Mytilus edulis: one gene and its partner. The protein of the gene in region 1 binds, or shares a complex with, the protein of each later gene. Links are inferred from orthologs where the notes say so. Each region holds a gene or a part of one and is shown on either strand. Other genes may lie near its edges.

Region 1 (7,520 bases):
TACCTTGGTGAAAATAAAAAGAATTTAAGTTAAAAAAATAACACTAAAGCTACAAAACAAGTCTAAAAATACACATGTATACATAATGGATAAATGTTACTTACGAGGCATCGTGTAACAATTCTCCTAATTCTAGTTCTCCTGCTGCTTCAATAAATTCTGAAGTGACATCTCTCCAATGGTAAACTGCTTTATTATCTGGTTGTATTGTCATTTCTTGTTTATTTCTTAAAGTATAAAAGTTAATGTTTATACATGCAAATAAAACATGTGATATGTCATGTAAGTAAAAGGTCTGTTGTCTTTTGTAGTGTAGCTACAGTACGGGTAGGGACTTATTTTTATGGATGTCTTAATCCGTCTAGTCGGATATGAATAATCGGACATTTTTATGGTAGGTAGTATGGTCATTAATCAACAGATCCAGGTGTGAATGGTCCTTTCATCTTAATCCGTGTTGCTAGAATTACGGTTCACTGATTTCAGAATCAGGTTACCTGTAATTTTAACCTGTCCTCTCAGTCACTTTATTGATTATATATTAGTTGCACATCGTATTTGACATAAAATATTTTTACAGGTGAAGTACTGGAGAAAACTTTGTTTAATAAAAATAGCCTATTTTTGTTAATTATGGTTTTGATATTTCAACTGTTATTTATTTTCTTTGTTCCTAAAAATAATTTTTATTTTATGTTCCTTTTCGTTTTTGTTTTTTTTATGTATCTTTTTTTTATTTGTTTGCATAAATTTTTTAAATATATATATTTTTACATGTATTCTATTTCTTGAAGCTTACGGTTATTTTTATTTTGCCGATTTATTTTCCACGTAAATCCATTGATTAGCAGAATGCTGTCTCAAGTGCTGCTGCATACGTTTTAGTTTGACGCGGACCCGCCGGTCACATGCAAAATATTTCTATAATTTTTATTTAATATTCAGTCTCACTCTGTGTTGTGTCAGTTCCGAGATAAAAATAATTACAGTGAGCAATACTTGTATATTATTAGTAGCTTGATGATTCTTTGTAGTTTTTACTTTTTACTGTAAACAAATATTGTCCGAAAGTTGGAGATGTATAACTAAAATAGAACGCAAATAATAACACTAGAAGAAAATATTGATTCTTCCCGGCCATAAGTTTATTTTAAGATTTCCGTGTTTGTTCATTATGCTAAATTAATATAATTGATCTGCATTTGGGGGTAGGGGGTAAAAGGGGTCCGGATCTCGAAATCCCGGGCTTAAAAACACGAAGTCGGAAGGTCCCGAATTTAAATAAATTTAAATCCCGACATCGCGAGAAAAAAAATTCCCAGTTCCCGAAGGGTTAATCCCGAAATCCCGAACTTAGTTGCATAATATAATTTACGCACAATCCATGTAAAAAAGGAAACTTGTGAGGAAACTTGTATGTTATATTTTTTATAGCAATCTAAAAGAAAAAATTGCCGTGAAAAGACAATTCCATCATACACATATTAGTGATCAACAGCATGTGCAGGTGGTTGAACTTTAAGTTAAACTTGATTCCACTCACAATAATATTGAATGCTAATAAAAGATACTTTAAAGATCGATTTTGTCCACTGCACGAGATTTTTATATGGCGGGAAATGTCGTAACAGTAAACACAGGTGACCTTACTGACCGTGGGAAAATTCATTCATGATTAAATTTGATGTGGAATGATTGACAGTATTGTGCTTTAGTTTTGAGGCTCTTGATCGATTTACCAGAATAGAAATTTAATCGATTTACATACATGTATAATCAAAACACGATTTAGTCTTCTTTAACTATTTTTTGTTTTATTTTTATTAGTTATTTCCCGGATTCCCATTTAAATAATCTATTTGGAGACCTCCTTTAAACTTCGGAAATAATACAACATCGATCTAAAAAATCATACTGAGTGCGCGAGCTTTAGAATGACTAGAAGTACGACGAAAAAGTAAAGACAGCTGATCATGACTAGTACGACAAGCCTTCAACCCCATTGGGGTATAAATGTGCATTTATTCAATAAACTATATAAGGTTAAACTTTGATTTTCGTGTATCGATTTGATACAACTTGTAAAATATATTTATAACACCGGCCATTTCCATCAGACATGAAAATAGAAAGGCATATTATCTCGAGTGTCAACAATTTTAAATAAAATTAAAAAAAATAGGAATCGAAATATGATGTCGGCGTTATAAATATTGTATTAAAGGAAACCAATTGTTTGACTTTCAAAGAGATTAACGGGAAATATGTCAAAATAGAAAGCACGAGTGATCTGTCTGACCAAAATGTTTCACTTGCGAGAAATGATTGACAGGTGTGTATTGGCACAAAACTATTGAAATAATTGGCAACACAATATATTGTTAAAAATCGTCTTTATTTCATTTTCAAATTATAAAAAAAAAAAAATTATATTTAATTTTAATTTTTATTCTTATATTTAATTTTAATTTTTATTCTTTCTCTTTGAATACAAAACAATATTTTACATTGATCTATCCCCCATAAATACTTATATATCTGTACAGGTAAAATTTAATTCTAATCAAGCTGGTACAGATTGATTTACGACCTTCCACTTGGATATTGCACAGCAGGTGTTTATTACACTGGGACAACTGTCCGACCAGTCTGACATCTAGACGGATTAAGACATCCATAAAAATAAGTCCCTACCCGTACTGTATATATATCATGTATATAGTCACAAGACATGAAGACATGTAGTGTTTTTTCCTGAAAATAAAAAAATAAAAAATTTACATTCTGGTCTCCTTCAATAAAAGTGGGAGGTCAGTAAACAAAAGATTCAGGATTCAGTAATACAGTCAGCATACATCTCTTAAGTAAGAGAAAGGTCATTGAGTCATAATAAGGTAGTGAAGAAAATGATATCAAAATAATAAGAATAAATTACCTTGATAAGGGATTCTGTGGGGGTTGATTATCGGAAAATCTCTATACAGAAATTCTGAAATGGGATTAGGTTTGTGTGTAACTAGTCCGAGATTACTCTGACATCCAACGGCTGTTTTGCCAGACAAGCTGGGTCCGTGAGACGTCAGAGCTCGTCCCATATCAAAAGTGGATATTTGCCCACCCAAAATAGATGCGCTGCTTCGTCGCTTCTGGTGCCGACTGACGGCCTTGGAATTATATAAATCGGGCATCAATCTGTTCATTTTTCATTTATCTTTTAATTTATGTAAGTTTCACCTACCTGCCAACTTTTATTTTTCCATATTTTAACAGTTTTCACAGATTGATGCCCGATTTATATAATTCCAAGGCCGTCAGTCGGCACCAGAAGCGACGAAGCAGCGCATCTATTTTGGGTGGGCAAATATCCACTTTTTGATATTTCCAAATGCACAGGTTGGTATGTACTCAGAGTAGTTTTTGAGTTTACATACATTACAGACATTTTTGTCCATTTGTTATGATGAAATTTTAGCCGGTTTAGGAATTCCTGTTATTCTTTTCATTTTATGGTTTGAGCTCTATATAGGACAGATGAGCATTTCCATGATAAACCATTAGTCGTGCGTGTTATTTGCGTTTATTGCTTACTCATTGCAAGAATTATCTTCATTTAAATTAGGTGAATCAAAATTGTTTTTCTCGTCGATAGTCGACATGTTGATTATGTAAAAGTTGATACAATCTCGGACAGATACAGGGAATCCGTATCTTCTTCTTCTTCTTCTATATGTATATCCTTCCAATAATGGAACACCTCCTCAACGGTATAATCCAGACGGAAGTTAATTAAAACTTATATAGTGGCTATGCACTAAAAGTTTTCCACAACTTGATAACTTTAAAAATTTAGATTTACTGGACACGGATAAAAACTAAAATATTTAAGCCGACTGATAAATAATTTACGCAATTAAAAGGTAAAAATATTTAGGCCTTATCATGGCAATATTTCATTATAAGATTTACTGTACACAACTAAAATCTAAAAATATAGGGTGCTTTATACAATGGAAAGCAGGACATCCCTGTTCTACTGAAAAAATATTACACCAGGGTTTTCGATATCACAAACTAGTCAAAACATTTACTAAATTTTATCATCGGTATAAGGAAATAGTTCGTAAATATAACTCAACATGCAGACATCTTATACGTTCAGGTATTTTACCTCCAATCGTTTATGGTAATATTCTTTGCAAAGCACAAAAATGTCAGTATTCACCTCTAGTTTATGCCTGTAATTTAATGAATGAAAATATTATTTATTCTCAAAAACATAATGCTACATTGATCAAAACTAACCTTTTTTAATTTAATGCAAGTTTTCTGTTCGGAAATCGTTCCGTACCACAACTTTCCAGTATTAAATTAGAAATTATTAGATCCTTTATAAAAGGTATTTAGAAAAAAAGTGCAGGAGACTCATATTCTTTTTAACTTCATTTCATGGTGCTTTTGTTAGTTTAAACATAGTTATTGATAGTTGATTGGGAAACAAGTTATTGCATCTTATATTAATCCCTTTCCACTTTTGTACTTTTGTTGTCGAAGTAAATAAAAATTTCGTGGTGAATCATGGAATTTTTATACGGGACGTATTATGGTACCCCGTTGTCCATTCGTCCATCGTCAGCATGTCGGACAAAAACTCAAAAACGTTGTGACAATTTACATGAAACTTTGGTGAATTGTCTATTGAGTTATCATCCCTTTCAGTTTTTTTTTTAGAAATTATTGATTTTACGTTTCCGAGTTATGGGATTTTATTAAACATTATAAAGTTTCTTAAGAGCCTGTGCCACTCACCTTAGTCTATTTGCTGCAGTGCATGTCAAACAAGGGGCACTCTTCAACATTAAAGACAAGAATAGAATTCATGGCAAAATTATCTGTTTTGGTGATGGTGACTTGTTTGTAGATCTGATTTTACTAAACATTCTTGCTGTTTATAGTTATCTCTATCTATAATGAACTTGGTCAAGTAGTTTCAGACGAGACGATTATTGTAAAACACAGGCACTTGTTTCTATCCATTGGAAGACCCACTATCAAGCGCCTGTGTTGTAAAAGTTAAGTTTTTGAAATTGAGAAATTATTTATAGGCGTCATAACGAGTGAGGATAGATCGCTTTTTATCAACTCGAGTTATTTAATTTCAATAGAGCCTTTAATACGGTTAACACTCTCATAGCGTAAATAAAAACTAAAAATTCCGAGAATCGTTGTTCTAGCAATTTGCACATCGTCGTAACCTTTGAAGGTCATCAATGACCTGACGAATAGCCAGTGGAAATGCCGTAATATCGTCTTGTGATGATGTATAAGGTGTCAGACCACCAATTAAAATTCCCTATCTGTTCTACCAAATTTTGCAATTTTCACAGCTTTCTGAATATCTTACCCTAAGTTTAACTTCCTAGACACCATGTACATGTATCATCTTTCTACATGCCAATACCCTTAAAGCCTTCTGAGAAAAAAACTGACCTTCGAAAAGAGGTACTCCTAAAATAACCCTTGGTTTTCTCGAAATCTTCAATTAGTATACCGTGGAGCGCAATCATACTTATAGACAAGTAAATTTTGGCTCAAAATGGTCTAAATATATTTCTATTTCACCAACAGTTTGATTTTTGAAAATTTGTTGGTTAGTTTAAGTAAGCAAGGACATCTAAATCCCTATTTTATGTCAGAGTAGAGCTACTTTTACATAGGTTCTATCTACATAGGAGGGAGTAATTGGAGGTGTGACACCAGCAGATCAAATTAACGCAGATTTCGTATTTTCATATCACACTCTGTGTAGTGATGATACGAGAACTTTCTATCCATGCAAGAAATAGATAATAAAACACAACCATGCATAAGAGAAATGAACTTTGAAAAAGTGACAGGTGTATCATGCGACCATGGCGCAGCTGTTTATTAAAAAAAAAAACGGAGTAAGAAACCCCAGTACTGGACAGCAAAGACGAATCAACATTCTATGTAATAAAACACATTCTGCTAATGGAGGCCTGACCCCCACCCCAACATAAAAAAAAAATGAATGAAAAATAAAAAAAATAAAACACAGACACAATTAATTCGCTCGATTTTTATTCCAATACACAAAAACATTTGAATTAGATTTTATACATAATAAACAATGAAACGAATAGCTCATCAGGAATACAAACATCTGTATGTACGTCTCAATCCAAATTATGTATGCGTACATTATATTGTTGACATCAAGAATATGTACTGTACATGAAAGTTATAAAATATGACTAACAGCAAAATATATACAAATGAACGAATGTTTATAACATGGAAGTGTTAGAACACCATTATCAATGTTACAAATGCATTGCTTCATGCTTGGAAAAGTACTTAACTTGAAACTTTGTTTATTATTTTTAATCATAAATACACTGACAAAAAGCATTTTAAACTATAGGCAATTTGTATAATCACTCGAAAAAAAATGGACACACTCGAAAAAGCCCGGACTGCTCTCGAAAAAACCCAGAACATAAATAAATGAATTTAGTCTCAAAATGTCGTTTTCAATGCAAGAAAAAGAATTTTTGTAAAGTGTCTGTATTTCTTAGGATATATAGATTCCTTGTATGCATTTCCTTCAACATTATCAGTGTTATGTGTATAAAAATGGCTTAATTCTGTATTTTGGAATTAAAGCATTTCAAGGCTTATTTTAACTTTTTTTAACGAAAAATAATGTCGGGTTAGTAAAATCTTTCTATATCAAATACTATTATACATAATATAACTTTGTATATTAAACACAAGCGTCTATATCACGTTTTGTTAGAGATGAAGTCTGTTTGTTTACATTTTTGTTCATATTCACTCGAAAAAAGTGGTCACACTCGAAAAAGCCCGATCAAATCACTCGAAAAACCACGACCCTAGGGTCATTTCAGGGCCTTTAAGCTGACTATACGTATGGGCTTTTCTCATTGTAGATGGCTGTACGGTGACTTATACTTGTGAATTTTTGTGGCATTTGGTCTCTTGTTGAGAGTTGTCTCAATGCTCATTGTTACCGTGAAGAAGGACCCCTATTTCAAAGAGAAATTGGAACTCAGTATTTTAAAACGCTTTGTCTCTTCGTCACATTCCCCGTTTCCATTCCGTCAATATTATCTTATGTGGTATTGTAATGTTAAATATGTTCTATGGAAAAAAACTTCATAAGTGATCAGTTTGATTTATGTCTCATCCAATTTGCGTTTATTCAGATACAATATGTTTAATCTTAACTCGAAATAAATAGGCTGGAATTAAGACACAACTTCATTATGTCTGAGACTACTACGATACACCGTGTACATAAAAGAGATGTATCCTGCTGAACTAACTTTAAATAAAGATAATACTAACAATGAAAACTTGGTGCCCTTCTACTTTCCTATTGTTAATAATTCATGTTTAGATGGTGACGTCCCGTTTGTTTATATATATATCCCAACTTGTTCAATTCGCCCGTCACGGTATAAAGCAACGTATTTGAT
Region 2 (7,557 bases), on another chromosome or scaffold:
CAGTTGAAGGCATTTCTTCCTGAAGTTCTTTGAAGTTTATTACTAACAACGAACATATTTTGATAGGGAATATAAGTACGGGGGAAAGAAACCAATGTTTTGTTCTGTACAGGTATTTTCCTCTGTTATATATTTATATCTGAGCACTCCCATTTGGAATAAAAGGGTTTCATGCTGAATCAAATATTATCACAGACATTGACACAGCGAACTTGTGTGTTTCTATCTTTAAAATCGTTATAAATACAGGTTAGATTGTGATTATAAAACCAAGTGCAAATATCTGTTTACAATATTTACAACAAAAAAACGGTGCGGTAAATGGACACGATTACATTTCCGGATGCGGGAAGCGGGAATTTAAAAAAAATAAAAAAATTCTGTTTTAAAAAAAAATCGGTGCGAGCGGTCCGTCGAACAAGGAATTAAATTGGTGTGGCCTAAATAAATAAATTAATAATCCAGTAACAAAGAAAAAAGTTTAACAAGTCGAACACGTGCTTTATTTTGACTTACGCAATCAGCATCCCCCTTTTTTAAGAAGTACAAAATAAGACGCAAAACATTAAATATTATTTCATCGCAAATAACTCTGAGTACTGCTGTAACGATAATTTAGAATTCCTTTTAAAGTTTAAAAGTAAAAACTTAAATATTTCCTGTAAAGAAATATCGTATCGTAATTCCGAATTCATTTCGTTGCCATTATGTTAAAGTTACATTGGCGACAACGTGACAAAGTTATCCATCACAATCAAAACACATCGAGAATAGATAAAATCCAAAACTATGTATCAATTTAAAGATCGTATTCCTTAAATTACGAAAATCATAATATCCATTAAAAATCAACTTTTATATCCAATATTTTCTACGAATTTAACGGAGGATTAAATCCATGATTTGACCTCTTTAGACCTATTTACGCAGTGACCTCTATGACCGGCATGCGCACTCTCATGGTACTCTCAGCATATAGGTTCAATAAAATCAAATTGATACATACGCGTTTCCGGTTTCTATTCAGACTCGAAAGATGCATGTTGCACAGAATCAATTTGCCAGATAAAGTCATTAAAAACCTTTTATTTGTCAAAGTTTGCTTTACAAATCTCTTTAACCTTTTACATAACCCGTACGAATCGTTTTGTTGTTGCTGCAAATCAGACATACCGGTAACAGGTTCTGAATTTGACAGTGTCCATGAAAAATAAGCTCCACATCATATGATTTTTAACCCCCATAACAATTACCAAAAATACAAAAAATCTACATGGGGACCTTCATGACAGCTTTTTATCATTCTCGACTAAGGGGGAACCATGAAGACTTGGCATTAAATGGTTAAAAACAGCAAAAAATATAAGTACTTCTAATTCTATAATGAAAATTCAAATAAATATAATTTAAATAAGCAATGAATTAGCATGTTCACCATTCCTTGTATGGAGGGATAAAATACTTCCGATCGCGCTACACTGTACAGCGTAGACACGGTTTGTAATGGTGAAAGTTCCTCAATCGTTCAATTTTCATCCATGGAGATCCCTGATTCCTACCCTCATGTACATGTAATATAACAGTTTATAATTATAAGGCCATAAAAAAGAATAGGTTTGTTTGCCCAAACCCTACCTGCCCAGAAAAAAGCTGCCTACTCAAATTCTTTTATTGTCCTGATTTGAAGAAGTTTTTTTTTAATCAGATAGGCATGAAGACTAATAAACACCCGATGCTTCAATTTCTTTTTTTGAAAAAAAAAAAGAAAACGCCTACCTACCTACCCACTGTCTCAACCTTGGGTAGGGTTTGGGCAAACCAAACTATTTTTAATTGTGGCCTAAGGCATATAAAGTGAACTTGGCAAGGTATCTGGATGATTCGTTCCAACTCTGATTTGTACCAACCACTTTGTCCCAAGTTGCTTGGTCATAGGTTCCAACTTTTTTCAAGAACAGGTCAGTTCGTTTCAACTGATCATTCTGATTCAAGGACAGTGTTAACTATGAAAATAACCTAATTACTTTAATTTTTGTGAATGTATACAAAAACTTATTTAAAAATATTTATATGGTTTATAAACCTTGGGTAGGGTTTGGGCAAACCAAACTATTTTTAATTGTGGCCTAAGGCATATAAAGTGAACTTGGCAAGGTATCTGGATGATTCGTTCCAGCTCTGAGGCACAAATAAAATAAAACCTTGTTGCATGGATTTAGTAAAAAAAAAATGACACAAATATAATGTGCCCATAATCTATTCCTTTTTAATTCAATTAACGGTTTTGACCTTACTGAATTTTATTTATTTAACTATTGTATATTATTTCAAAATATATATGGTTAAATGAGGGTTATTTTCGTACAACGTGTTTTGTCATTTTTATTTCACGTGCATCCGAGAAAAAGGTTTGTTATTCACTGTGTTTCGTGATATCGGTTAACAGATCCATGTGCAGGAAATTTTTAATAAAAATTGAGAATGGAAATGGGGAATGTGTCAAAGAGACAACAACCCAACCATAGAATAGACAACAGCAGTTGTTCATTGTTCGTTCATCATGATGGTAATTTTATTTCGCATTCTTCTGTGCAGATACCCTCCCTTTAAGCCCTCTTAAATCTTTGCCTTTTAAAAAAAAATTGATTCGAGCATCACTGATGAGTCTTTTGTAGAGGTGGAACAAATTATTTAGTCTGATTAAAAATAAACTAAATCAGTTGGAACGAATTGCAAATTGACATGGTCTGAGATGAACTGGTAACTTTAATTACTTTCAGCGGATTTGTGGTAAAAGACACACATATGAGAAAAACTATTTCAATTTGTAGATAGAAGAACATTTTTTTGTACATAATTGAAATTTTTTTGTGGGTTTATTTGTAAAATATGGCTTGATTCGTTTAAATTATATTTGGACGAAATTTACCATCACTTCGCCGGCCATTTTGGAAAATAGTGATTTTTACAAAACGAAAGTGTTTTTCTTTCTGAGAATGTGACTTAAAATTTTCACAAATTATCAAAATTATAATACTATAAAAGAATTTTATTTTCAGCATGATTTTTAAACTACAAATGATTCAGTGTACCGAAAGCTTTGGCAAATTTTTTTTTTTCGTTTTGTAAAAGCAGCCCTTTAACTTCCGGTTTACTTGTTGACGTTAGCAACCCCAGTTTCCTGAATCAATTTTGAGAGAAAATGGGACGGCCAAAGTATTTTACACCAAAAGAAGTTGCCGTTCATAACACTGTTGACGATTTATGGGTATCATTCCTTGGAAAAGTGTACAATCTTACTCCACTTTGCGAAAAATACAAAGGTATAGAAATAAACCAGTGTCACTGTAAAAAAAATGATAACAACACATACAAAATAAATAAACCAGAAGCCTCATACATCAAAGGTAATATAGAAATCGTATTGCTAACCATTTCTTAATTATCTCCCTCTTACTAACTAATCAAAATCGCATTTTAATGAATATAATAAATGAGGGTAGGATTAGGAATGCCCTTTCACGTCAGACTCAAATGGTCATGTACTCCTACTGTTAGCTTCCAATTGGTTAGTGTGAGGTGTCATATCGTTATCGTGTTACCTCAGACGTCTCAAATAATTGTCATTACTGTTGTTGTTTATTTTTAAATTAATGTGATACGTCAAAATCACTCAATTTTTTTTTATCTTATAAGGGAACTCTACCAGCACAAAACATAAGAGGCGTTGGTTCAGCAGCTTTTTATTTATCTTATAAGCGTACATTTTATGGTCATGCACCAAGTATTGCTGCCTATTAATGTAATTTGGCATTTTTTTTTTTACCTTTTTTGGTCATGAAGGTACCCTATTAAATCACTCAATTTTTTTTTTCATAAAAAAAAAAGTGTACATGTACATTTTATGCTCATGCACCAAATATTGCTGCCTATTAATGTAATTGGCAATTTTTTTACCTTTATTGGTCATGAAGGTACCCTTTTAAATTTATATGATAACCAGATGGTACATGTATGTTTTTGTGATTTAAAATGAGAAGTTTATACAATTATTTGTGGTGTGTACATACAAATTTATCTCGCTGTTGATGCAAAATCAGGACCAAAAGGAAAAAAAGACGAAACTTGCAATATACAACACTAAAAATTTAGGATGGAGCTTCAATTGAATCCTGTAAAAAAGGGGGAAGGGTTAAATTCAAGTTAAACTTGGGCACATGGGAGGGCATTTTGAGCTTTTACATATTAGTTCTGGCTTAGTTGTTTTATCATTGTTTATATATTTTTGTAATTGTACATATTACTTGTTTATATTTTCTTTACCTAAATTAAATGTACATTTAGCTAGTGCCGTGTAATATTGGTAACTTTTTAATGACCATCATGATTTGTATTGAACTTCTTTCTTAATATAATCCTATTCTGACCTTTTCATCATTCTATCTAATATTTTAACAGGAGATGTTTTACTGAAGCCCATTATTCAAGCAGCTGGTGGTGATATATCACATTGGTTTAATCCTAAGACAAAAGATGTAAGTTTCTTTGTTTACACCAGATACATGTACAAATTTATGTTAAAATACATGTATGATACCAGGATTGAATTTCCAATAAAACATAGAAAACATAATGGTTGAAACTTTTCAATCACTTCAAAATCATATTCTCAGAAAATATTGATTTTCTTGAAATTAGAATTTATCGTCTCTTACATGAAAAATGTTAATACAATTATTTCAAAGTAATCCTTTCATAATGCATATTTGTTTTAGATGCAAAATTACTGACCCTGTCTAGATCTGGAGGGGTAAATTTACAGAATTTTTGTCACATGTGAAATATTGGTTTTTATTCAATAAGGAAGCCACAATACTTCATTGAAACCAATGTATACATTTCAGATCCGTACACATGTAGATCCACAAACAGGGTGTGAAATACCATACTGTCCTAATGGCAGATTTGTACATATACCACCACCTTATCCAGATTCTTTTTGGGCCAATGACTTTGGAAGGCCTTGGTGGAAAGATGACAGTTATCTTGTAGGAATTCTGTCACAGAAAACAAGAAAAGTCAAAATAATCAACACACTCACATCACAGGACCATGTTATTGAGGTAAAGGTTAATCTTATTTTGTATTTTATATATTTTTTTCAAAAACTACTAGTTTTTGTACAGCCAAATGAAATAAAAATGATTTTTTTAAAGAGTTTAAAGTTCCTGATGACTCACTCTTTGAACTCCACATGAACAGAGAAGTGAGAGAACTATGCTGTAGCTATTTTATTTATTCAATGGTATATATATATTTCTCTTTGCTATAATTTGAATAGCCCGATGAACATGAATTGATTCTGATGAAAGGTTTTATTTCCTTTTCTATAAAAGGAGATGTAAAACAGTTAATTGTATTTTTGTCACTCATGCTCAGATCACATTAGGAGTTCTATATGATAGTGTCATTATTAGATCAGTAACTGCCAAACTTTCTGGTGCACCCTAGTTCATCTGTATTTCTAGGGGGGGGGGGGGTAATGTAATTAGTTTTTTCTTTCTTTAGTCTAGTGTTTTGTTTCGGTTGTTATTATCCCCTGTTTTTGTCAGAATTTATGTTGCTCAGTCTTCAGTTTTCTATGAATTTTACATTGAATTTTTTGTCTTTTCACTGTCTTTTGTATTTGCCACATGTGGCTCTGTCAGTTTCTCTCTACAATTGATTTTTAAACATTCCTGGGTATTTTTCCTTTTTCCTTAATAATATCAATGTGGTTTTTTTCAGGTTTGCTCGGAAGAGATTATGACAGAAATTTTAGAAAGGTACCTGAAATACAATGCACATGCTGCAAGTTATACATGGAAATATGACAGTCGAAATCTTGTGATGGGGAGTACGTTAGAAGAAAATGGTATCGAAGATGAAGATGAGGAATTTTATAAACTGAGCATGAACGATGATACATTCTTACAAGCAATCCATTTGTATTTCAATGATGATTTAACCGAGGCATAACTTTGTATACAGAAATTTGTTGAATTATTATACTTTTCATAAGGTTCTTTACCTTTTGTGAAAACAAAGGAGTTCTTTGAATCCTGTGAAATTTTTACACTTTTGGTAAAATTCCCTCTATGGAGAATATTAGCAAACAGATTGTTATAAAATTGAAAAAATTTCAAAATTTATAAAAATGAATATCTGCTCTTTATCAAAGAATTGAAGAATATGACAAGATTTGAGTGCTACATGTAATTATGATAAATATAAGGACTGCCTGTGAAAAGAGAAAAGATTATATGAAGTTTAGAGATTTGTAATATACTTTATTCATGTAAATAAAACTATTATTTGTATTTTATTTAATTTTAACTGCATCAACATCTAGCGTAACAAAAGTGCCTCACTGATATAACTCATCTATTTACTAGTCATGATTTAAATTTATGATTAAAGTCTCTTAACTTCTTAAGATCAAAGTTATTAGAAATATATAAATTTAACCTAATCAATGATATTAGTAAATGAGGTTCAGGTCTGATGACACCTTTCAGACAGACATATTCACCTTATAATCATTTCATACACCAAATTTTCTAATCAATTGCTTATTAGATCAGCAGACCTAAGTTTTTGGGGCATTTTGTAGCCGACTATGTGGCTTGGGATTTACTTTGCTCATTGTTGAAGGCTTTACAGTGACCTGTAACTGTTAATTTCTGTGTCATTTGGTCTCTTGCGGATAGTTGTCTCATTGACAATCATACCACATCTTCTATTATATACCAACCATGAAAACTTGAACAATGAACTATGAAAATGAGGTCAACGTCAGATTAACCTTGAGAAACAGGTACACAATCATTCCATACACCGAATTGAGTTGACTTATTGTTTAGTTACATGTAGTATCTCAGAGTACTAGCTATGAAAACTAAACTAGGAACCATAAAAATGAAGTCATGATCATATAAACCCTGTCATTTACTTCTTGCAATGATTCCATGCACCTAATCTAGATGACCAATTGCTTATAGTACCTGAAAAGACTTCAAAACCTTAAACAATTGATGAAGCAAGAATCTCATAAAAAGTTATCCTATTACTCATAATAAACATGAATCCATGGTAGAAGGCAGAAGAAAATAATTTAAATTGTTGACAACAAATTTATTTAAATATTGCATGAAACACATCTAGGAATTGACATGTTAGCATGTATTATACTGTAACAAATGCATTTGGTGTGTAAAATCTTCATCTAAAACATGTTTTACATGTCAACTAATAAAATATCTATGGTTTAAACACACAAATGACTAAACAAAGTAACAAATATAACTATACAGAATTTCAAAGGGAAATAACTCTCCAGAATAAGGGGAGATAATTCATATAATCCCTTTTTGAAGTAAACATGCTATCTACATTGTACAAGGAAGTAAGAAACTATGGTGTATACCATTAAAACATATAAAACCCTCAAGGCACATTCTAAATAGGGATACCACTCATACAAGTAATTAAAATGTGTGTATGTAGTGAGAGGTTTAA

What was found.
Region 2: N-alpha-acetyltransferase 35, NatC auxiliary subunit-like (region 1) and N-alpha-acetyltransferase 38, NatC auxiliary subunit-like share a complex: the UniProt entries of both Drosophila melanogaster proteins name them as parts of the N-terminal acetyltransferase C (NatC) complex. The link is inferred for Mytilus edulis from reciprocal best matches to the Drosophila melanogaster genes Naa35 and Sbat.

The regions. Positions count from the first base shown.
Region 1 is NC_092347.1:909,730-917,249, reverse strand, and holds the start of N-alpha-acetyltransferase 35, NatC auxiliary subunit-like, read right to left. Parts: upstream 3,022-7,520; 5' UTR 2,734-3,021; coding exon 2,701-2,733; intron 317-2,700; coding exon 105-316; intron 1-104. UniProt on the Drosophila melanogaster protein: Auxillary component of the N-terminal acetyltransferase C (NatC) complex which catalyzes acetylation of N-terminal methionine residues.
Region 2 is NC_092356.1:26,199,770-26,207,326, reverse strand, and holds the start of N-alpha-acetyltransferase 38, NatC auxiliary subunit-like, read right to left. Parts: upstream 3,013-7,557; 5' UTR 2,948-3,012; coding exon 2,930-2,947; intron 1-2,929. Other genes in the region: cytochrome b5 domain-containing protein 1-like, read left to right, coding at 3,203-3,323, 4,459-4,535, 4,905-5,123, 5,788-6,018. UniProt on the Drosophila melanogaster protein: Auxiliary component of the N-terminal acetyltransferase C (NatC) complex which catalyzes acetylation of N-terminal methionine residues. May have an accessory function in the survival motor neuron (SMN) complex.